Linked DNA regions of Arabidopsis thaliana. The protein of the gene in region 3 purifies or fractionates together with the protein of the main gene of each other region. This does not show direct contact. Each region holds a gene or a part of one and is shown on either strand. Other genes may lie near its edges. The genes, in order: NRPD2A, NRPD1A, SHH1 and CHR42.

Region 1 (7,682 bases), on a different chromosome or scaffold from region 3:
CTTAGAGTGAAGAGACGCTCATGCAGATTAGCTGATGCACCGTGAGCTATTAGGCAGTCTCGCTCCATTTCTCCAAATTTTATCCCGCCAAATCTCTTCCTGTCTGCAACTGGCTGGCGTGTGAGCGGGTGGACTGGTCCAGTGTTCCTGAACTTGACTTTGTCCTCTGACATGTGGACAAGTCGCTGGTAGAAAGTTGGGCCCATGAATATCATAGAACGCATCATCTCACCTGATCTACCGTTGTAGACCCTTTCGTTTCCCCATCTTGAAAAGCCGGCCCTAATCACAAATATTTACCATTGGTAATGAATCAGGACTCAAGAATCAACAATAATCTAAGAAAGGTTAAATGAATTATACATAGATCACAAGGCTCACAGCATCAATCCTCTAACTAATTATATACTGGTACATGACTCTTGAGCCTATTTTTCTGTATTCTCTAGACGTTTTTCAGGCACAATACAAGAAATTAATCAACCATAGAACATTGAACTTCTTAGTTTTTTAGTCTTACAGAGACAGATAACTCATGCTCACTTCTAGTACTCCTAGAAAACAAAATAAAGATCCACTATGACATGTTTCAAGTAAGGTGCTCAAATCTAGCTTAGTGCCTTGTGCAGTATATTAGCTCAATCAACTTTTGGAAATTCTGTAGCCAAAGTCTCCAAGTTTAAACATCTTCAACGAGGAAATATTATCAATAATATGTTCCTGCCCTTAATGATATCATCTATTTGTATAGGAAGCAAATGTAAATCTGTTATAGCATATAATTTTATATTCTGTTTTACGAGCTAAAACCAAGAGACAATGTGAAGAATGTACCTGTGAAGCTGCTCGGTGATTTCAGTGACACCCGGAGTGGAGAAAGGAGTGGCATGACGTGTCAATTTGGTGTATGCAGCAGAGCTACCCTCCTTTTGTATAGGACAAGCGATTCCTTTGGAGAGAGCAGCCTCCAAGAGTTGACCTGGTGTTTGCCTAGAAGGGAAAGCGTGCGGGTTTATCACAATATCAGGAACTATGCCTTGGATCGTGAAAGGAAAATTCTGCTGTTCCTCTAGGTAGCCTAAAACACCCTTCTGGCCATGCATACTGGAAAACTTATCTCCAAGGCATGGAGAACGAACCTGTAAGATGTAAAAGCCAATCAATGGAACATTCGATTCATACATAGGAATGCATTCTCTGAAAAAACAGCTCGATTTAGTATGATCTGGAACTTACCTGTCTCAGAGAAACCGCAGCAAAATTCTTCCCTTCATCATTAGATGATAATACCACTTTTTGCACAATTCCTCTCTCAGTGTGCTTGAGCTTTATACTGTGATCAGCCCCAGACTCGGTGCATCTGCCAATGACAATATCGCCAGTACTCATGTTAGCACCAATGAAAGGAAACCCGTCATCTTCAAGGCTGTCTACTTTGCCGATTTTGCTGTGTGTCTTTCCAAACTGAACAAGCTCATCCATCTTCTTCCTCTTCTCTGAGTCTTTAGCATCAACCTCTGCTTTGTAGCTTCTAATCTGCTCTGAACGGAACATACCACGTTCCAATGAAGCCTTGTTCATCACAATGGAATCCTCTTGGTTGTACCCGAGATGAACATTCACAGCAACAATTGCGTTCTGGCCATTGAACAGCACTTCTTTTTTAAGACACTCCGACGCCAATGTCTTGAACAGTGGCTTCTGAGGATAGAACAGCTGCTGGGACAGCGTATCGCAGCGGATGTTAGGGTTCGTTGATGAGAATCCAATGGCTTGTTGGCAGTGCTTCTGGGACTGGTAGAGAACTCTTCTCCCATGGTCGTGATTTGCAAATGGGACAACTGCACAGCTCACACCCAACAAGAATGACAGGTCCAATTCGCAATGTGTGTATATCTTTGGTTCCTTCAGAAGCTGTTTGATTCCCCATGCTGTATTACAGTCTTCTTCTTCCTCAATCCCGATCAGCTCGAGAATCCCATGGTCAAGAAGATGGTCAAAAGGATACTGTGAAGGTTTTTCTTGCTTCAACTTTTGGAGATTTTCCACAACCAAGAGAGGTCGGAGTAGTCTACCAGCATCAGTGAAAATTCTTACCTCATTGTCATCTTTATCTCGCTTGATTTCCATCTGCAGAGAACGTTTCATATATATAAACAATATTCGACATAGACACATCTGAAGCAGAAAAATCCAAAGCAAATACCAAGTAACACAAGAATATCAAAATATAGCAAGAGATTTGCTGAAACAGAAGATACCTCACGAGGTAATTCACTTTGGCGCCGCCTGCTTTTTAACTCCGCGACAAAGGATTCAGAATCTGCACATAATCCAACCCAGTCTCCATTGAGAAGAACTTTATGTTTGCCAAACAATGGTGTGCATGTATCATCCATCAGCTCTTCCATTCCACAAGCGAAGAGCTTTTCCACCACAGACTCCAAACTTTGGGTGCTCACAAGTCCCAGAAGAGACATGTTCTTCACAAGACCACAATTTTCACCGTCTGGAGTTGACAAAAAGCATACTCTGCCCCAGTGAGAGGGGTGCCTGTGGCCAACATTACAAACAATGCAGCTATAGTTCAGTTTCCCAACACGATTTAATTGTCTAACCGCTCACATTGAAAAGGAACCAAAATGGATAATCTCAAGAGTTCAACAGATAGATTGACCAAGGGAGAAAGAAACAAGAAAGACAGTATCAGAGTTTTTTAATAGCAGTAACATCTATACAAAATAAGTATTATACACAGACAAGAGACTGCAGAAACAGTGATCGGCATCATATACTACATTGAATTAAAGTTATTACGAATATCTTTAAAACAGTCTGAAGACATGTAAAATGGAGTAAATGCAGACCAGACCAGTAAGTTAAAATACGTGAGATATATTTAAATATACCAGAGGAGGTGGAATTCACTTACGGATATCTAGCATCTCCAACCTTGCCGGTATATAAGACTTGCTGTCGCGTTCTCCTCAGATCAATCAGAGTCTGCAATGGATTTGCACGACCCAAATTAGCCACAACACCTGAAACCCTTTCCATCTTCCTGAAAGGATGAGACCATGCTCCAGTAGAGAAGGCTCTACTAAGCCCATTTGTGATAACAGAAGCATCCAAATAATGCTCAATAGGCTTCAAATCACCATCGCCTGAGAGGTGTTTCTGCATGGCCCTGGTCATCTTTCTTCTAGCATGTGCCAGATGCACCCTTATCTCCCTCTCCAATAGTTCTCCAGCGAGCTCAATTCGCTTATTCCGGAAACTGTCCCTGTTTTCGCATTTTCTTTTTCCCGCATACGAGTTCAGAAGGCACTTCACCATATAGCCCAGGAATCGAGCTTTCTTCTTCAAACTTTGGAGGCCTGGAAACAAATACAGATGGAGGCACTCATCCACACTTTCAGCAGGAGGGAATTTGGTGCTTTTGATCTGCTGTTCAACATATGTTAAAGCATTGTTCCCACAGCGAAAAGCTTCACAAACTGCATCAGCTACATGGATAGAAGCTATGAGACTGTTGGTAATGCTTGCATCATCACCATCAAAAGCAATTAGATCCATGGCTTCTTTGTCTGACGAAACACCTAGCGCAAAGAAGAGGAGCCAGACTGGAATCTCAGTCGACAAGAAGTACACTGTCAGTACTTTCTCCCTTCTCTTATAGTCTTCTGCTTTCTCATTCTCCGAGAGGCGCACAATGAATCTATTTCTTTTATTTTCGGACCTGAAGGAGACTGTCCATGGTGAATTAGAAATCCACAGTCTCTTTGTGCACATCTGTTCTTGAGCTATAAACACCTGCAAAACAATATAATAACGTTAGGGAGAAGTATAACAACTTGAAAATATTTTTTCCAGAATATATTAGAGTCAAATCATCTGTCCCAGAGCCTAAGATTGCAAAGAACGCTTCCTGTAAGATTTGAATACTCATGGCCTCATGGTCAAGCCAGAAAGGAAAGAAAAAGTTTATATCTTTGATGCTAACGAAGTATACAAAGTCATAAATAAGTTAAGTTTCTTAATTTCTTACTTCATCTCCATTAGGAAAATAAAATGAACCAAATAGGTTATTGTCTAATTTGTAACATCTTTTTGCTGATAAACACTATTATCTGATGATAGAAAATTGTAACTATAATCCGTTTTATGGATTGCTGACAAACAAAATCCGTTTTGGCATAGAAAATAAAGTTATTGTACGTATTGAATGGCAATATGCATATATGTATGTATTAGTTAAACTCACCTTCTCAGCCCCCTTTATCACGAAATATCCACCCTGATCAAAGGCACAATCCCCCTTTTTGCAGTTTTCTTTCCCTTTCTCGCTTGTTTTGCAAAGGATAGATTTCACCATGACAGGAATGCTACCAATTAGAATGTCCTGCTTTTTGACATCCAGTATCTTCTTCTCGACATAGTTGTCTTGTCCTGTCTTGAATTTGTCGCTTTTAACAACAGTATTCTTGAACACCTAGTCAATTTATAGAGTGAAGAAGCAGTTAGACAATAAACTACATTTATAAGAATAAGATACATGGACAGCAAAACAGAAACATCATCAAAAGTTTGACAGTACAAGAGTCATTGCACACAAGCATAAAACACTCAAACTAAAGCACAGTGAGGCAGTGGGGAAGAACTAAATAAAAAAAAAAGCTGAAGATGTTTTTCTTTTATTGCATCCAAACTTTAAAATGAAACAAACTAAAGCTTATTTCGTTTGAATACCCACCACTACAAGGAAAAGTAATCACAATTCAAATTTTAAACAAGAAACATCTAAAGATTGGGAGCAGACAAAATCATCAATCTTAAACACAACCAAGCTTGAAATACACCTCTACTTCACACGAACATGTAACTGTAATAAATCTCTTTTACTAGATATTTTGCTCAGGTAAGAAATCCAGCGAATGCAAATAAGGAACCAAATCCAATTACAGAAAACTTGTAAAGCCAAAAAGAGTGAAACCAGTTTCAGACAAATATGTTCCTTAACCCTTAGTAAATTATTTGATGGCAAGTTAAATTGAGAAATCTATGACAGGAACCTCAGTGTATGTCAACATCTTCATATATGTGTCAGAAAGAGTCTAGTAGAAACATCAAGAAATAAGCTTATACCATGTGTTCTTTATCATTCATCAAATCCAGACAAGGTTACTTAATTTCGACAAAGAATTTCTGTTACCTCAACTTGGACATTGACTTTGATCCTTGCAGAGTATGTCATGTTCTGAAGCCTAGCATGCCATGGGAGAAACTCAAGCTCCTTGTCATCCGAAAAGAAAGTAGGCTTCTCCACAGTGACTTCTCCGAACTTCACCGTTGCGTATCTCCAATCATTATCCTTCTTCTTTACAACATCAAAAGACGGTTCCACAAGCATCTCACCAAAGGATTGAAACACATTCTGAAGCCCGTGTTCAATGAAGTAGTTGTAGGAGTTGAGCTGATGACTTATAAGTCCATACTTATCAAAGAAAGAAGTTGCAGCTTTTTTGCAGAAACTCTGCAGAAAACCTTCTCCTAGCTCAGATAGATTGATCTCCCCAGTAGTAGCCTCGAACTCTTCAAGATCCTTCACATCAATGTCCATATCTGGCATACCTCAAAACACACTGTACGAACAAAAACCCTAAACAAAGACAGAGAAATTGATTAAAAAGCTGTGAAAATCATGAACCACGAAAATGCAATCATGCGAATACAAACACGAAATCAACAACTTTCCCTTAGAACCGAATCATTCTCCATAACATATTCTCCGATGCTTAAAAGCAGAATCAAAGCGTATTACCTAAAATAGGTACCTTGATTGCTTAAAGCTGGCACGATGGAGTAAAACGGCGGTGTCGGAGGAGTGCAGAGTAAACGTCGCCGGAAAATCGCTGAGAATGCGGAGAGATTCGACGTAGAAAACCCTTGGCACACTTTTTCAGTGGTTAAGCGAAGCAGTCAAAGAGAAGTGAAGAAATTGACGTCACTAGTACTAGTAGACAATATTATTAAATTTTGCTCTTTGGTATCTATATTTTTATGTTTAAGTTTTATTTTATTTTTATTTTAAAGTGAAAAGGAAATATATTTAGAAGTTCACATGACATAAAATTTGTAACATCTTTTTTTTTTTCCAAAATTTGTAACATCTACATTTTGGTTTTTACATCTAATTCGATTTGGTTGTTTGGTTTAATAAATTTCATATATAACTTAATTTTGACCAAAACACAAAGAAAAAAAACAACACATAATTCACTAAAAAAGCTCAGAGCAATCCCAATGGTTTAAAATCAATTAATTTTTAATTTTGGATCTTAAGCTTATTTTAAATTAAAATGTTGTTTTTACTAAGTTAAGAAAAGTTAGGAAGAAGTTTAACCAATTTCTACTTCAATGGTTAAGAACGATTAGAATTTTAAGAAACAACAAACTATTTCAACACAATGTCTACCCACTCAAAACACAACACATATGCTTTTCTTAGTTTTAAGAAAATATCTTAATAAAGATGTTTTTGTTTAACCAAAAAAAATAAAATAAAGATGTTTTTTTTTTTGGTGAGTGACGGAGAGGCTTAATAAAGATGTTTATCTTAGCTAAAGTTTATTGGTTTCATTAAATTTAATCACTTTTATACCTAAAAATTAGCTAAGATACAAAGTTGGGGTTGCTCCTACAGTTTAGAAATAATCATCAAATAGTTACCAAATTTGGGACATCATAATTATGGGTAGTTTGATTTATTAGGTTAAATCTGATCTAATTATAGAAATATAATATATAAGTAAATAAAAAGTTATTATATAAGTGTAAGTATTGAGCTCTGTTTTTTGTTTTATTATCTCTGAGAGTCTGAAGAAGCCATGCTTCTGTAGCGGTGCCAACCAACTTGGAACTGATCTTTCCTGTGAAAAATCGTAATCATGACATCGACCTACTTTCTCGTCTCTTTCTTTCTACCTTTCTTTGCTTCTTCATCTTTCTCTCTTTCTCCTCTCATATATTCTCTCTATGCAAGCAACTTCATCACGATAACCTCTTATCTCCTCAGCCATGGCTTCAACGTCTCTCGGAGCTTCGATTCTCGTTTCTCACTGCTCCTCAGCTCCTGAATTTCAAGTTTCTGGGATGAGATTGGTGTTTGGTTACAAGGCTTTTGGCTGCAGAACTTCACGCAGGGGATTTCGAGTTCGCTGCGAATCCAAGGCGAGTTCCTTTTTGGTTTGTGGACTTAAAAAATTGCTCCTTTCACTTTGATTTTTGAAGTAAGTAATCTAAAGAAATGAATTGACTTTGGGGAAGGTTCAAGTTTAGCTGTTGCACCAAAATAGACAACGAGTGGCTCTGACTTCTGAGTCTTATTAGTTTAGGATACTTGTCTTATGAAAGCTGAATTGCTTCTGATGACCAGGGTTTAAACAGCTTGATCCTGAAAGGCTTTTATAGGGTTCTTGTAAGTTTACCTTATGGTTCATTTCCTGAATTATATGTAACATCAATTGTGTACCGTTCTTATAGATTCAGGAGAAGGAGTTAAGGCGGTGTTCGCCATTCTTAGAACGCTTATCATTGCCAAGGGAGGCTGCTTTGAGCTCTAATGAATGGAAGTCTGTTCCTGATATTTGGAGATCATCTGTGGAGAAGTACGGTGACAGAGT
Region 2 (4,722 bases), about 18 Mb from region 3:
GAGCCTACATAATGGGTCATCAAGTTGTCAAACTCAATAATAGTTTTTCTCACAATTTTATTTATTTATTTCTGGCATTATAAATAGTTTTATTAACTAGACTACCCCAAATGTTTACAGTTTATAAGGTTAATAAGAAAATTTACTGGGACATTTTTAAGTCTAGTTTATTCTACTACATGTTTTTCAAAACAAATACTCATTTTGTTTTAATTTAATTATCATTTTAGCACTTAAATTTAATCTCACAATAATTATCGTTTTTAGTTTTTTAATGCAAATGTTTAATAAAAATGTGAGTATTAATGTCTTGACCAATAATTTTTTTAGAAACTATATTGAACAAGGGTAAAGTAGAAAATTTAATTGTTTTTTTTTATTTTCACTGCAAAAAATCTTAAACGACAAATAATTTTAAACAAAACTATTTTAATAACTAACCACTAAACTAACTATATAACTGTTTTACAAACGAAAGCGTGAACTTCACGTAAACAAAAATTCAATTTCACGCCGCCGACAAAAAACCTTAAACGACAACTAATTTTAAATAGAAGGAGTATATTTTAGTAATAATTATATGTTAAACTGTTTTAATAAATAACCACTAAACTAACTATGTAACTGTTTTACAAACGAAAGCGTGAACTTCACGTAAACAAGAATCTAATTTCACGTCGCCGACAAGAAAAACTGATTTCACTTATATATCTTGATTTATTAATGGACATTCACATACTCTCAAATAAGATTCTAGATCTTATAAATTTTAATCTATTTTTGTCTCAATTAATTTAGTTATTTATCACATTTCGCCTCTTATAAAATTATATGATAATTGTCTAAGCAGCTAACTAATTGTAATTGTTTTTCAAACAAAAAATATATTTTAATTACACATAATTTTTTTATCGAACAAAAATATATTTTAACGAAATATAAATGTTTCGAATCAAAGATAACAAATTTATAGCCTCAACTATACGTAAAACAAAATTTTATTTTACATATCATACTTTGATTGATACTAACACAAACTTCACAAATAAATTCGTATAATTATGTAATTTTAGATTATTTAGAGATTATAACTAGTATTTAGAAAAATCGCAAAATCATATAAGAAAAGAAATGGAATTTGTTTTTGGTTCAAATTATATTTTTTTTTCCCGCTATTCATATTATAGTTATGAACCAAAAATCAAGCTAGAAATAAAAACCACTAGGATTTTTTTTTTTTGCTAAGATGAAAATTTAGTTATACACTTATTTTTATTTATTTAAATATTACATTAAACTAATAAAAAGTATTAATTATTCTAATAACTTTTTGTCAGTTTTAAAATTAGGCCAAAAGTAAAAAACTAATACAGCTAATATAATATACTTAAGGAAGGATATTTCAACTTTTTCTTTTCTTCCCAGTTTCAGAGTTTATACAAATAAGGTAAAATTCGCAGAAACAGAAAATCATAAAGTAATTAAAATAATACAACCGAGGAAGTAAAAAGATTTCCAAAAGGTAAAAGGTGTACTCGTAAAGTAGGTAAATAGAGGTACAGGTCAAGGGGTAGTTTCGGTATTTACACTCTTTCTTCTTCTTTTTTTTTTTTTTTTGGTGTCTCACATTCCAAAGTCCCCATTGGACTTAGAGAAGAGTTTTTTTTTCGTTTTCTCTGCTTTCTCACTTTTTCCCGTTTCCTTTGGGAATACAAACGGCGGCTTCTCAAAAGCCTCCGATTTCGATTTTTTTTTCCTCTCTTTTTTTTTGTTCTTTCTTTAGAGTCTCTTCTTCAACTTCTTCTCCGGCATCTTCCGTCGGAGCTAAGGATCAGAAGTTTTTGTCTGTGCACTGTTTCAATTGGATCATTACATAGTGAGGATTCTCTGTTCGACGAAACGAGTAAGTAACTACATTGTTGTTCTTCCTCAATTCTCTTCTGGTTTTTCTTTCGTTTTTTTTTTTAAAACCTTTTTCGGTAATTTTCTTTTTATCTCTTTGAAACAATTTGAGTTCTTTTTTTTTTTGATTGATCACTGTGTCTGATTCCTTATCACGGTTCTTTTGTTTAAATTTGATCGATCGTTGTCTTTGAACTCCGATTTTGTTTCTATGAACTTTGTTTACTTTGGATGATTGTGAAAAGTTAAGTACTTTGGTTTATGCATGTTCTTATGAGAAATCGATTTCTTTCGTTTAGAGATCATCTTAAGGCGGCGAATGTTTTTGCACTAAGGGTTTGTGTGAGTCCTTTAGAAGAACATTTGGAAAATTTGTCCTTTTTTTTTTTTGGTCAGTGAATTTTTTTTTTTTTAATCCATGAATAGTGTATGTTCAAAGATTGAACCTTTTTGTGTGTATGTTCTGCAGTTTTTTTTCTTTCTTCTTTTTCTGAACATGTATTCTCTTATTTTTTTGGGTTCATGCTAGATTCTATTAGTAAATTCAATTTCGAATCTATAACTTGTTTTTGATAGGCCAGTCACAGAGGAAGATTGTGGTAACACTTTTGTCCCTTAACAAAAGTGTCTGTTTCTCTTTGGTCAATTTTTTGATCAGAGAGAGTTTGCTTTGGTTTTTGTGTTCTGGTCAATGAAATGCTAAAGATTGGTTTTTGTTTCATATTCTGCTGCACATTAGATTTGATGATAGAGGGTACAGATAGAAACTGATCTTTTCGACGATTTATCCGTGAGTTTTAGCTCTGTTTTATGTTACAGAAGTAAGTGTTAATTTTCAATAATGTGTGTTCAAAGTTTGAACTATTTTGTGTGTTCGTCAAATATTTTTGAGCTAGAATCTTCTTCCCTGAACATGTTCTCTCTTTTCTTTGGATATATGCTAGATTCTAAGTGGCCACTCACAGAGATAGTTTGTGAAGTTGTCTGTTTCTCAGTGGTTAGTATTGGTCAGAGCGAGTTTTTTGGTTTTGTCTGTCTAAATGCTAAATATTGGTTTTGTTTCATATTCTGCACATTGGAATTGGTCACTAAAACTTGCTTATAAAAACTGATGTTTTTACTTACGTATCTAAATTTTCCTTACTGATGGTTTTTTTTCTTGTAGGAAACTCTTCAACATGGAAGACGATTGTGAGGAGCTTCAGGTTCCCGTGGGAACTCTAACCTCGATAGGTTTTAGCATTTCAAACAACAATGATCGAGTAAGTGTTGTCCTTATTTATTCTTCTTGATTTGTTTATGAGTAGATGGAGCAAATATTTAATGTAATGGTACTTTATTATAGGATAAAATGTCTGTGCTAGAGGTTGAAGCACCGAATCAGGTGACTGATTCTCGGCTAGGATTACCGAATCCGGATTCTGTCTGCAGAACCTGTGGCAGCAAAGATCGAAAAGTTTGCGAAGGTATCATAAAGAATCTGGTTTTGGCAAATATTGTTCCAATCTTTTAGCTCATTTTATGATTAGTTCCCTGAGTTTGCTACTTTTCTCTCTGTTTTAGGGCATTTCGGGGTTATAAACTTCGCGTACTCGATAATAAACCCGTATTTCCTCAAGGAGGTAGCTGCGTTGTTAAACAAAATCTGTCCGGGGTGTAAATACATTCGAAAAAAGCAGTTTCAGGTTCACTAGTCTTTCCAAATCCTTTGTTGGTTTGTGTGTTTTGGAACTACATATACTAATGTCATTTTTGCTTGATATAGATTACCGAAGACCAGCCTGAGAGATGTAGATACTGCACTGTAAGAATATATGATTGCAACTAATTTTCTCAGTTTAAAACTTTGTTCCAACACTAATTTTCGGTTTTTGTTGTTGTTATATATCAGTTGAATACCGGTTATCCTCTAATGAAGTTTAGGGTAACTACTAAAGAAGTCTTCAGGCGATCCGGAATCGTTGTTGAAGTAAACGAAGAGAGTCTGATGAAACTCAAGAAACGGGGAGTGTTAACATTGCCTCCTGACTATTGGAGTTTTTTGCCGCAAGACTCTAATATCGACGAGAGCTGTTTGAAACCAACAAGGCGAATAATAACGCATGCACAGGTATAGAAGAGTGAAATGTACCATCTCCATGACTTCTTACTATATATAGTTTTCTGAAAATTTCACCTTTTTGCAGGTTTATGCTCTGTTATTAGGGATTGATCAGAGGCTCATCAAGAAGGATATCCCTATGTTCAACTCTCTTGGTCTGACATCTTTTCCTGTTACACCAAATGGTTACCGTGTAACCGAAATAGTTCATCAGTTCAACGGAGCTCGGCTAATATTTGTAAGCTAAAAACGCTTGTTTATATAATTTGTTATCATATACTATGGTATTTCTCTTATCTTTTCGAGTTTCTGTCACATTTTTGAAGGATGAACGGACTCGGATCTACAAGAAACTAGTCGGCTTTGAGGGAAACACACTTGAATTGAGTTCTCGTGTGATGGAATGCATGCAATATTCCAGAGTAAGTTAGTGGTTCCTGATAGATTTAAACTCTTCTTTCTGTTCTGTGAAGGTTAGTAGTATTTCTTGTTTTTTGCACAGCTCTTTTCGGAAACTGTGTCTTCGAGTAAAGATTCCGCAAATCCGTACCAGAAGAAGTCTGATACACCAAAACTTTGCGGTCTAAGGTTCATGAAAGACGTGCTGCTCGGTAAAAGAAGTGATCATACATTCCGGACAGTAGTTGTTGGTGATCCGTCCTTGAAGCTCAACGAGATTGGCATACCCGAGAGTATCGCAAAAAGGCTTCAAGTATCAG
Region 3 (3,797 bases):
GTGTGATTGAATACAGAGAGCGGGTCGATAGTTATATTACTTTCGGCACAAAGATTTATTTCTTTCCAAATAGTTTTTGTGCTAAATGAGCTTTTTTCCACATCTTTATCTTAATAAGCCGAAGCTCACAAAATGTATTGACCTGCGTATTGTATATACAAGAAGCAATGAGTAAACAGAAAGAAATAGTCTTGCTCACAAGAATGAGACTGTATGTTGAACATTACATAGGGTGTTAACTGGTTAAGCATTTGGGTATTATTACATTGTACCATCACCATTCCCTTTACAATTCTAAGCTTTTGCACTTTATTCCACATAGTTGACAGAAAAAAACTAACATAGAATCCTAGGGCCGGTAGGTACTTAGTAGTGGAAGTCTATACATGAGCATGTTATTCCATTTTTGGGTCAGTCATATACTATATAGTCATAGTTTACTGCATCTTCCAAATATGACTTCAAAACCAAAAAAAATTACTCTTCAGGGCGGCGGCAAATTCTTTCTAGTCCCAGCGATTCCTGAACATACACTTAACACAAAACTTCGTCAATAGTTCCCACACCCAACAAAAAGGCTGAGATCAATCTTCTTACCTCTGTATTGTCAAGCTCGTAGCGAACAAGAAACACGCAGTTACATCTCGCGTGATCATGAATCCCTCTCTTGATATTCAAAACATGACCATCACAGTAGAGTGCTTGATCCTCTCTTTCCTGCTCATTAACCACCCCAACTTTCATTTTTAAGTTCAAATTTCTTTTGTTAAATGTTCCATCCTTCATAATTAGATCAAAGTCAGCCTTACTTGGAAACATAGAAGCAGGTCTCCAACGTTCACTCTCCCACACTCTGATGGTTCTACAGGAATAGACCGCTCACGCACTGATGTTTTGACGTTTACCCACTCATCGTGTCGGTTGTCGAACCCAGAAAACCGTACACGCACTTCCTGTTGCAGACACTCTTAGTTGCAAACAAATCATCCATTAAACAAAAGAGAAAAAGCTTACCAGTTCACCAGTGCGAAGAACTCTATAAGTAAGGAACGAAGACACGTCATACCTGAAAGACCAGAATTCCAGCAAATAAGCACAGATATAAAACACAAACGTATATTACAAGTCCAAAAATTAGGCTTTATATGAATAACGTTCTTTCTTAAGTTCACACTGAATAGGTAAGGGCATTCCTCGTTGAGTTAACAATCAACAGAGAGTTCACATTTCAGGTTCTTACTTAGGCCACTTAACAAAGTCATATGCTAGCAGTAGTCCAAGAGTTAAAGCAAAAATAGAAACATGATATTCAATGCAAGGAAACGTTCTTACCACGCGTAGTCCCGCGCTGATTTAGCCTCAAAAGCCAGATCAGCTAAATCAGAGGCCTTGCCTGTGTATGAAAATGTTCATAGGCGTTATAAGGCGTTAACTAAAAGAATCAAATATGGCACACAAGAAAAGGAAAACCTTTTCGTGTTTGAACAAAGGTAGAATTCCCAACAAAGGTAGCATTTGAGGCATTTGAAGCATAAGAACTGGGATTAGATAAGTCATGAATCTGCAAAGGGGGAGATGGCAAAGTTTTGGATTTTGGTTGGCTTTGATGCTTCAGCTTCTCCTGGAACCAAATCTGTACCTGAAAACATTTTGATTCAAAAAAAAAAGTTATTTCTACTCTATTTGCATTTTTTACCAGTTAGCTCTATGAAGAAAAAAGAGACGCACCTGTTTCCAGGTTATAGAGGATTTGCCATTCCGATTCACAGAACAACTATAAGAGAAAATGGAAGAAGACATAAAGATTTTTTAGATACTGTGCATGAAAATCAATAATCCTACTATTCCTATAAATCCACAAAATGCTTGTGTCTCGATTCTCTAACAAACACATTCACATGATCAAATTCTCGTAAAATTCAGAATAAAGTACCTAAAAGTAGAGGCAACAGTTTGACAGAAATCTTTGTGGAGAGATTGGTCACCGAGCTCCTTATACAGATTCTCCATGTCTACAATCTTCGAATAAGAAGAGCAATAAGATCACAAAGCATGAATCTCTAATCTAAGAAAACGAATGATAGAAAGCATAGATAACCTCAGACAAGGTAAACTCGGTGAAATAGTGAGAGGAATCATCGGAAGCAGCCATTATCGAGCGCACAAGGAAGAAGAAGAAGAAGTGAAAAGGATCTTGAGCTAATTTGCTACTACACTGATGCCTTCAGAGTTCAGTGAGCTTTAGTGGGTTAATGGGCCTAAAATGGATAATAATAATATAAATGGGCTTAAACTCACTAATTTATTACCCATATGCTTGTTTTTTGGACCGTCTATTATTTTATTTTAACCACACTCATATAACTGTACTATTATTTAATATTTATAAATGACTTTGAAACAATCGAGACAGGATGAGGGAACCCGTCCGCGGGGAATCTTCCAAGTCATATGAGCTGGTGGTGCGTGGTGGAGTGTTTATTAATATTCATGATTACTGACATTATTAATCAAATACTATCATAGCATGTATAAGTATATAATTTAATCACAGCTAATCCTCACTAAGGCTCTACCTTCTTTTGTTGGCGACAACCCAGGCCCTTATTTCTCCAATACAAGATTCGTTACTAAACATATCAAATATACATTATTGTAATTAGTTAGTTAATTACACGTGCTTTAAAGCATTTTAAACGCACAAATTTGAAAATGATGGCAAAGGCCCTGATTGATTTTGACCGAGACACAAACACGCAAACATAGAAAATTTAATCAGGGATTTGTACTCGGTTACATAGCTGTCATTCTGTGTTACGTATTAATTACGGTATTTAACTAATCACGCACGCAGTAGATATACTATAACTTTACTTGATTAACAAAGCTAATAGCATCCATAAATTGGGGTCAAGATGTTTGAACTCATAACGAGTTACTTTGACATTTGTAGATTGTGTGTAGTTGGTACGAGGTCTACTAGTAAGTCATAACCAAATATAACTAATCGTAGTAGACTAATTCAATTTCTTACATAAGTCCCAAATTTTCTATACCTGTTCTGCACTAATCACTCCTCTCATTCTTATCACCATTGGTCCATTGCCATCTCTTGAATCCGTCAATCTTTTATTAATTTAAAAAGGCCACCTGCTCTATTGTTGACAATAGAAGGTGAGGAAAAACAAAACCAATCAAGCCAAAAAAAGACAACCTGTCTACATCATTAAGCACCAACCTTATACAAACGTATAAATCGAATTTTTAACTCGTGTATGATTGACTAGGCATCCTTCATTTTCCACATGGGCCATCCTGTTAAAAGATGTTTCATTATTGCATGGATTACTATAATAATCACAAGAATTTAAAAGGCACAATCAAGTGGTGCTTTTCTTTATAGTTTTCATTGGAGATTGTGATAAAATAACAGAGAGCACCAGAGGGGGAGCTTGCACTCGTCATTGTCCCTTACTCTTTTCTCTCTCAATGCTGCAGAGGCACTGACAAACACACCATCTTTGCTTATCTCTTTCTCTGTTTTCTTCAACGAAATTTACATATCATCCGTTTCTTCTACTCACATATGGATCCTATCAGTCTAATAGTCTAAAAGAAAGAAGAAGAAGCACTTAACTTAATAGAAACAGGATCAAGATTCATAAGATCTAAAGATGGATTACGATCCAGCTCATGCTATGAGCAGAGGTGGGAGTATGCGGCAAACCATAAGTCGTAGTGTAAGCAAAGCAAGCAGAAACATGGAAGACATATTCAATACAAGCTCTAGACGAACC
Region 4 (7,872 bases), on a different chromosome or scaffold from region 3:
GCTCATATATATATATATGTATAATTCTCATATCAATTACACTTGAAACCAAACAGGAGAAAGGGAATGTGCCGTATGTAGTGGAGAATGGTGCAGGAGTATTCACAAGAAGTCCCAAAGAGACAGCTAGAATCGTTGGGGAATGGTTTAGCACAAAGACAGATGAGTTGGAACAAACTTCAGACAATGCACGTAAACTAGCTCAGCCTGAGGCAGTCTTCGACATTGTCAAAGACATTGATGAGCTCTCAGAGCAACGAGGTCCTCTTGCTAGCGTCTCTTACAATCTTACCTCTTCTTTTGCCAGTTTAGTTTGATGTCCCATGTTTATATTAACATGTCTCCCTTAGTAGTTCTTTTGTCTGTTATTTTTTCCTTTCCTTATATTCCCTAATTTGTTTATTGATTGAAGTTGTATGTATTATTTTTAAGCAAAAGGTTCATGATGTCTTTGCATTATTGTTAGCCATTAACAATATCAACAAGAGATTCTTGTTCATATAGAATCACATTACTATTAATTTTGTCGATATATTTCACATTATTAGAGACGGACTTACACATTATTAGTATATGATACATTTTCTTCTTATTAGTATATGATACATATTCACATTATTAGTATATGACACATGAGTTCCAGAGACTTAGGATCTTCCAAGCCATGGCTAAAACAGAGAACTAACCTTTTTGTTTCTGTTTGCGGAAAATTCCAGGCTCTCATTATTCTTTATGTATACAAACCTTCATTTACCCTGTTGAAGCCTTCTCATTCTTCATGATCATATGGAAAGATTTAACTTTATCTTCTCCAACGATCTCTCTAAGAATATCATCTTCAATCTTCTCAGCTTGCCACAGAGATGGATCCGCAACAAACTCCTCACTGAATATCATACACGAGACCCACTCTTTCCATGTTGTCCTCCTGTACTTGTCTTCCTCTAATGTTCCTCTGGACAAGAGCTGATAAACGTAAACAACTTTCTGCTGTCCCGGTCTGAATGCACGAGCTATAGCTTGCTTTGTCTTAGAAGGGTTCCATTCTGAGTCGAGCATGATGACCCGTGAAGCAGCGGTCAGACTAATCCCTTCTGCGCAAGCTGTGATCGAGGCCAGGAGGACTCGGGATGGGTTTCCAGGTTCTTCGAATTTGTCTATCACTCGACCTCTTTCAAACAGCTCAAGATCACCGGTTAAGGTCAAGATCTCTCTGCCTCTTTGCCACCTGAAAATGTTCTCAAACAGTTCGGTAAACATACGGATTGGCGCAATGTTGTGGCAAAAGATCAAGATCTTCTCCCTCTTGACCACTCGGAAAATAAGGTTTAACACAAACATGACTTTAGATCCTTTCTTTGCGTCGTGCTTGAGTTTTCCGATCTCGGAAAGTTCTTGCGGGTTGAAGAATTTTGTGCAACAGTTTGAGCTTGTGACCAACCACGGATGTATAGCTGCTAATGTTATCTGAAGCTCGACCTCAAGTGGATACCCAAAGTACGTCTTTATTACATCCTGAAGTTTCGTGAGTATCTTATGCTGTATATCCGTCGAGTTCATCACTAATGTATAGATCTGTAGACCTGGAAGAGCATCACCACTTCCACTTCCACTCCCTTCATAGTTATCAATGAAACCATTAGTCATATTCTTCAACATATTGAGACCTTGAAGGCGTTCATCTCCCACGCTTGCATCAATCTTCTTGGCAATTATATCGAGGAATAATTTACGAGCTCTATTCTCGAGCAAGTGAGGCGCCTTATTCACACCGTGATTGGTCTTGAATTTCTGATCTAACTCCATTAGAACCTCATGAATAAACTTTGGTCTAGCCAAACATAGCGTGTTGAAGTACTCGCAAAAGTTGTTCTGAAACAAAGTACCCGAAAGAAGTATTCTTAAGTCAGTACCAACTTTCATCAAGGCCTTACGTAGTCTTGACTTGGTACTCCTCGGGTTATGCCCTTCATCAAGAACAAGAAGCCCGGGACTCTCTCTTAGCACTTTAGCCATGTATTTCCGGTGAGCAAACTTCGAGTCTTCCCTCATCAAAGTCGTAAACGAGGTGTAACCCATTACAAGAACACTCGGATGAGCATGCCATTTCTGTATTTTTTCTAGGCAATCAAGAACATGCATAACATCTCGGCTCGGTTTAGGAACTCCATTGAACTGAACCGTTTTGTTCTGTTTGAAGGTACAATAGGTTCTTCGACCGTGGATCAAATGAACCGGAACTGGGATCTCCCATTTGATGAACTCCTTGTACCATGTGTACAAAGTTGTTTTAGGAGCAAGAACCAAAGGTCTTTTCCCGGGAAATAGCTTCAAGTAGCTAGTGAGGAAAGCAATGATTAGGAATGTTTTACCAGCTCCAGGTGAATGAGAGATCACACAACCACCTATGTTACCTGAAGTGGGATCCATAAGCGAGGGTTCCACAGATCCTGCTACATTTCTCCAGAGAAACTCGAAAGCTCTTCGTTGATGCACATGTAGTTTTCTCTTAAGCTTAGGTATTAATGCCCAAACGTTGTCACTTTCTTCAGCCGCAAGCATTTCTGAAGAATCACTTATCATAGAGAAATCTTTAGTCTGGGCTTCTTTGTGGCTCAACTTAGTCTTTATGTCATCTTCTTCGATATGCTTAGTCTCTATGGTCCATTTCTTATGTTCTGCCTATTCAAACCAAACCATGAAATATAATCATTTATTACAAGCCCAGTAACATTAACATTATGCATTTGTAAGTTGTGAGTTTCACTTACAAATGGTGCAGATACATCTTTTATCTCACTTCCTACATGACCACATAACCTGCAACACATCCCGATTTCTTCCTCCAGCCTATAATCGTGCTCACAACCACTTCTCGCCTTTTCGAAAGCCTCGTTATCCACTCTTACCTAGAGATTTTGATACACCACAACAATGGAATTAGCAGGCAAATGCTTGTATATAGTTTTAGTTTTAGTATATGCGATATCTCAAAGAGAATTGTACCTCGTTGTCATCGAGAATGTAAGAAGAAGCCAAGCATAGTTCCATTTCTCTCCATAACATTTCGTTCTCTGAAGTCTCTCCCTCACCATCCTCACTCAAGTTCTTTTCCATATCCCCATGCAGTTTAAATGCGAAATTCGTCTTCTTTAACTCCTCCCACTGGTCAACAACACTGGTAGGCTCGTCCTTGGCTGCAATTGTGGACTCAATGTTGTTCATGTATGTATCTATCAGCTTGTTATATGCACCTGCACTCAATGTTACTTTCTTATAGACCCGTGGTTCATCAGAATCCTCTGTTTTTGGAGCAACTGACCGCGAAGATCGGGATGTTCGTTTTTGAAACGACTTCACCTGGTTAGGACCTTTCCAACATAGATCAGCTTCCATCATCTCTTCCATTTCCGTCATTTTCTTCCCGTATTTCATGCCTTTACTTCGATACTTTTCAGTCTCATCAAAGTACTGGCTTCTTGAGAAACTACCACCCCCACCAAAACTGTTAGCATTAAGACCAAACTGTTCCAACGGTATAGGCTCAAACACCGGAGTGAAAGGAATAACCGAAAGCTCGGATTTCCTCTCTTTTCTACCAAATCCATGTACTCTCCTCTTGTCTATCACAACGATCTCGCCTTTTCGACTTTTCGGTTTCGCTTCTCGAGAATTAGTTTTCTTTTTCTTGATGAATAAACGCGATAATGGTATATACAAATCATCATTAGTATCACCATCCTCATTGTTATCGTCCTCGTCTTCATCACTCTCAACATTAACAGCACATTTTCCAAACTGGTACGGCATCATCCGCACCCAACCGTCAATTGTATCTGGCTCATAATCACATCCGGTGTAGATATCCGGTCTCACGTTTCTTCTTTTGGACCTACGTAGTTCCACTACCTCATCTTCTTCTTGATAATAATCGGTTTCTTGCTTTATTTCAAGATCTTGAGAATCATCCAATATATCTGCCGGATTAAACTTAACCACTTTTGATAACGAAACACCGTCTTCCAAAGTAATATTCATCGAACTCAACGTACTGCTAGAGCCTTCTTCATCTGTTACAATCTGATAAACCATCTTGGTTTGCACTGTTCTTATTTGAAACACAATGCTTTTCAAAGTTGAGGTAACAGTCAACCACGAAAGATCCGGCAAGAACTTTCCCAAAGACAGTCTTGTTTTCATCAAGGAAGTGCAGTCCTCAGAGAATCTCCATCTGTAGAACTGATCAGTACTTTGTTCCTTGTAAAACTTTTGGAGAATGGAGATTTGGTTTAGACCGATAACCACGGAATCTCTATTGATTCTCTGTTTCTCCGAGCCAATGCAGCCTTGGTCAATGTAAATTCTAACATTGATCTTGCAAGAGCATTCAGACTCATGAGGCTTCCTCTCTATAGAAACAATCCTCGCATCCACCCAAACCTATGCAAGAAACAGATACAGAGTATTTTGATGAGTTTGAAGATGCAGAGTATTTGAAGAATCAAATTCACGCGATTTCAGCTACATGTACCGGTTCCAAGTCATCCTCGTGGATACGATAGAGAACACAAACATCGATATCAGGCCGAAGGAAACAGATACAGTCGCTCAAAGCCGCTTTTCTTGATCTGAGACGAAGCCTTTGGAAAGGACGGATATCTTCCAACACATAACCATTCTCTAACAGACGTATTGTCATCATTCCATCTTCGATCCTCATGTATTCCACAGGCTTCCATGTACCCGAGCAGAAGAACTCGAAAGCTAAAGAGTAAGAACCGGAACATTGTTATCCATTAGTCAAAGTAATCCAGTCTGTACTTTGGCATTTCAATCCAACAATTTCCAACTTCTCAAAGTACTGAATGGTTTATAACTTTAAGTTCAGCTCTGTGGCTAACTTGCACTTAAATGAGAACAGAAGAAAATTGATATAAAGGGAAATGCACTTACGACATGGATCAAATGGATGCTTCAAATTGTAGAAACCTCTTTTCTTCATATTTTTTTATAACTTTTGGGCCAATCAACCAACAACATTGTTATGCGAAGATCCTACAACGGCAACATAAGTATAACAAACCCCAAAAGTCAGATGCCTATTTTTATAGCAATAACTCAAAGATCAGCAGAAAAGGACAGAACAGTGTGCTCTGCTCTGCTATTATGAGGTAACTTAGTTTTCAGTCTTATGCTTTTTTGATTGAGGGAAATGCTAAGTGCATATGTGCATGTAATCAAAATTTGGTTAAGAGTTATAATTGATGCTATATCTTTCCAAATCGCTTCACATTTCGAAGTCTAATCTTACATACAAAACAAGGAACAGAGAACTCTGCATATATGAAAACTTGATCATACACAACCAAACCCACATCGGATACACGAAAAGACTCAAATCTTACGTTAAGAATCGAAAAAGTTCACAAATTGTTAACATTTGTGTTTTTAGGTAAAAAACAAAACCCATATATTTTCCTGGAACAGAGAGTCCAGAAGAGGCAAAAAAATATATATTAAATCGGTCATCACTAAAGGCTAAAAGCATCGTTATCAACAAAACCCATATATCTAAAGAACACAAAAATAAAATAAAAATAAAGAGTATTTGATGAATAGGGTCTGATTCAAAAGCAAACGATCATGATCTAGAAAGCAGAATCTTGAATCCCAAGACAACAACAAGACTCAGATTGAACTGAAGAAAAGATGATCGGACCTTGGAAACAAAACCAGATTGTGCAGTGAAATTGAATACCAAGAGCTATATAATCTACTATTCCATGATTCAAGAAATATGTAGAGAAAAAGGACGGAGAGTTCAATACCTCCTCAGTAGTTATTTCAGAATCTTGTTGGCCACTGTGAATATAAATTACTTAATAAAGATTTGCATGAATTTTGTTGTATACAACAAACAAAAAAGAGTGAGTGAGTGAGAAAGGGAGTGTTGGCAAACGAACCGGACAAGAGGAAAAGGTTCAAGGAGAAAAGGTAATTAGAAAAATAGACGGCTGCGATTTGCTATGTTTTATCTAGAGGATAAAAATAGACGGCTGTGATTTGTTACGTTTTATCTAAGAGAAAAATAGACGGCTGTGATTTGTACGTTTCATCTGGAAGAGAAAACTAGACGGCTGTGATTTGTTATATTTTATCTGTTTAGATAGATTTTCTGTCACAAGAAAAGTTATATGAAACTTTTGTGGGGTCCACGGTGGAGATATGGCGGTAACTCTTTGACAGCGAGTGTTGTAGGGAGCCTAAGTAGGTTATGATGACCTATAACTTAGGTAGTAGTTGTACAACGTAAAAAAAATTGAAGGCTGGAAGGTAGCTTTCTCATTCTTGATATTCTTTTAGCTGTAGATTTCTACAACCAAATAAGCCTTTTGTATGCTACTCTTAAAGAGTTCTGCACACCCACCACTTGCCCAGTTATGAAGGCTGGAAGGTAGCTTTCTCATTCTTGATATTCTCATCCATCAATTCAAATCCAAAGCTTCTTGATCGTAAAACAATATATAGTTGTATAGCACAGTATCGATCTTTCTCGGTCTTATTGTTTGCAGATATGAGTATCGATGGGCAGATGGAACTACTATGGTTTCAGCCCCTGAATATGTTGAGCTTCTCATGAATTGGATTGAAACTCAGATAGATAACGAACACATCTTTCCGAAAAAGACTGGTATTTGTGAAGATAATTCATAGTTTTAAACATGATCATGAAGTTGGTTTTTAGTTTGTAACACTTGTTTCTTTCTTTCCCATTCAGGAGAACCATTCCCTCCAAACTTTGAGGATTTCGTGAAGCGGATTTTGAGAAAGTTGTTTCGTGTCTATGCACACATCTATCATTCTCACTTTCCTAAGATTGTCACTCTCAATGAACAAGCTCATCTCAACACTTGCTTCCACCGTTACCTTCTCTTCGTATCTGTGAGTTGATTAATCTTTCTCTAAATCATGATGAGTACTTAGGACTGTTCTCATATAGCGGATGGTAAAAGTTTGTATATTTAACGATGATGCACGATTTTGGCAACATGCAGGAGTTCCAGTTGGTTGATAAAGAAGAAATGGTTCCTATTCAAAAGCTCGTGGAAACTATTTTGAAACCATAGAAAACTCTTCGTGTTTTCAGGGGGAAAAGGGATTTTCATATATCCACTAATAACATCCTGATGAAGTTTATGATATATGTAATAATGACTTTGGCTTTTACAAAATGACTTTGGCTTCTATAATAGGTTGATCTTGTGAGGTTTCAATCAATAAACAAGATCAGCATCAAATACCAACAGAACCGCTCTTTAACTTCATTGTACAGAAACAACAGGCTATTTTTTTTCCCCTCTTCGTTGGCTAGTCATTGTTAATCACAAAACCAAGGGATGTCTTGGTGTTGTGTAGAAGTGGTTAAGTAAAAATGAGTATAGACTCAAATTCACTTCCAAAGCTCTAGGTGTTAGTTTTTTTGAGCATTAGATATCAATCAATTTAATCTCGGGTTATCTCCTATTAGCAAGCATGGATTCACTGTTAAGTTAGATGCGGATAAGCATGTCCTTAGCAAAAATGGGACAACAACAGAGTGCTCTGCTCTTATGCTTTTTTATTATCATTGAGGAAAATGCTAATTACATCTGTGCATGTAATCAAAATTTGATTAAAGAGTGATAATGATGTTGCTCTACCTTTCCAAATCACTTCACATTCGTTGATGAAAAAACACTAAAAACAAAGTCTAATCTCAAATGCACACACAAGGAACAGAGAACTCTGTAAATATGACTATTTGATCATACACTACCAAACCCACATCGGATGCACAAAAAGACTCAAATTTTACATTAAGAATCGAAAAAG

Evidence for each region.
Region 1: the proteins of SHH1 (region 3) and NRPD2A purify together in Arabidopsis thaliana (affinity purification with mass spectrometry, with the first as the bait; one study listed by BioGRID). This does not show direct contact.
Region 2: the proteins of SHH1 (region 3) and NRPD1A purify together in Arabidopsis thaliana (affinity purification with mass spectrometry; 2 studies listed by BioGRID, with this or other methods). This does not show direct contact.
Region 4: the proteins of SHH1 (region 3) and CHR42 purify together in Arabidopsis thaliana (affinity purification with mass spectrometry, with the first as the bait; one study listed by BioGRID). This does not show direct contact.

Annotation. Positions count from the first base shown.
Region 1 is NC_003074.8:8,568,191-8,575,872, forward strand, and holds the start of NRPD2A (nuclear RNA polymerase D2A), read right to left. Parts: upstream 6,020-7,682; 5' UTR 5,822-6,019; intron 5,660-5,821; 5' UTR 5,630-5,659; coding exon 5,213-5,629; intron 4,493-5,212; coding exon 4,265-4,492; intron 3,814-4,264; coding exon 2,933-3,813; intron 2,554-2,932; coding exon 2,262-2,553; intron 2,131-2,261; coding exon 1,237-2,130; intron 1,140-1,236; coding exon 835-1,139; intron 283-834; coding exon 1-282. Other genes in the region: AAE16 (AMP-dependent synthetase and ligase family protein), read left to right, coding at 7,078-7,230, 7,543-7,682. UniProt on the Arabidopsis thaliana protein: DNA-dependent RNA polymerase catalyzes the transcription of DNA into RNA using the four ribonucleoside triphosphates as substrates.
Region 2 is NC_003070.9:23,359,485-23,364,206, reverse strand, and holds the start of NRPD1A (nuclear RNA polymerase D1A), read left to right. Parts: upstream 1-1,719; 5' UTR 1,720-1,770; exon of another isoform or gene 1,771-1,903; intron 1,904-2,014; 5' UTR 2,015-2,059; intron 2,060-3,067; 5' UTR 3,068-3,080; coding exon 3,081-3,164; intron 3,165-3,247; coding exon 3,248-3,368; intron 3,369-3,465; coding exon 3,466-3,587; intron 3,588-3,667; coding exon 3,668-3,706; intron 3,707-3,793; coding exon 3,794-4,012; intron 4,013-4,088; coding exon 4,089-4,241; intron 4,242-4,329; coding exon 4,330-4,425; intron 4,426-4,475; exon of another isoform or gene 4,476-4,505; coding exon 4,506-4,722. UniProt on the Arabidopsis thaliana protein: DNA-dependent RNA polymerase catalyzes the transcription of DNA into RNA using the four ribonucleoside triphosphates as substrates. Largest and catalytic component of RNA polymerase IV which mediates 24-nt short-interfering RNAs (siRNA) accumulation.
Region 3 is NC_003070.9:5,236,451-5,240,247, reverse strand, and holds SHH1 (SAWADEE HOMEODOMAIN protein), read right to left. Parts: upstream 2,205-3,797; 5' UTR 2,153-2,204; coding exon 2,099-2,152; intron 2,020-2,098; coding exon 1,934-2,019; intron 1,775-1,933; coding exon 1,729-1,774; intron 1,640-1,728; coding exon 1,471-1,639; intron 1,394-1,470; coding exon 1,333-1,393; intron 1,067-1,332; coding exon 1,015-1,066; coding exon of another isoform or gene 991-1,014; intron 954-990; coding exon 810-953; intron 718-809; coding exon 535-717; downstream 1-534. Other genes in the region: ABCG35 (pleiotropic drug resistance 7), read left to right, coding at 3,675-3,797. UniProt on the Arabidopsis thaliana protein: Involved in RNA-directed DNA methylation (RdDM). Required for the silencing of some endogenous RdDM targets and accumulation of 24-nt siRNAs, but not for the production of Pol V-dependent transcripts.
Region 4 is NC_003076.8:6,898,265-6,906,136, forward strand, and holds CHR42 (chromatin remodeling 42), read right to left. Parts: upstream 5,979-7,872; 5' UTR 5,829-5,978; intron 5,056-5,828; 5' UTR 5,003-5,055; coding exon 4,954-5,002; intron 4,765-4,953; coding exon 4,532-4,764; intron 4,441-4,531; coding exon 3,007-4,440; intron 2,910-3,006; coding exon 2,772-2,909; intron 2,683-2,771; coding exon 751-2,682; 3' UTR 526-750; downstream 1-525. Other genes in the region: MGD2 (monogalactosyldiacylglycerol synthase 2), read left to right, coding at 57-317; AT5G20430 (Mob1/phocein family protein), read left to right, coding at 6,441-6,454, 6,573-6,691, 6,779-6,942, 7,056-7,127. UniProt on the Arabidopsis thaliana protein: Probable chromatin remodeling factor.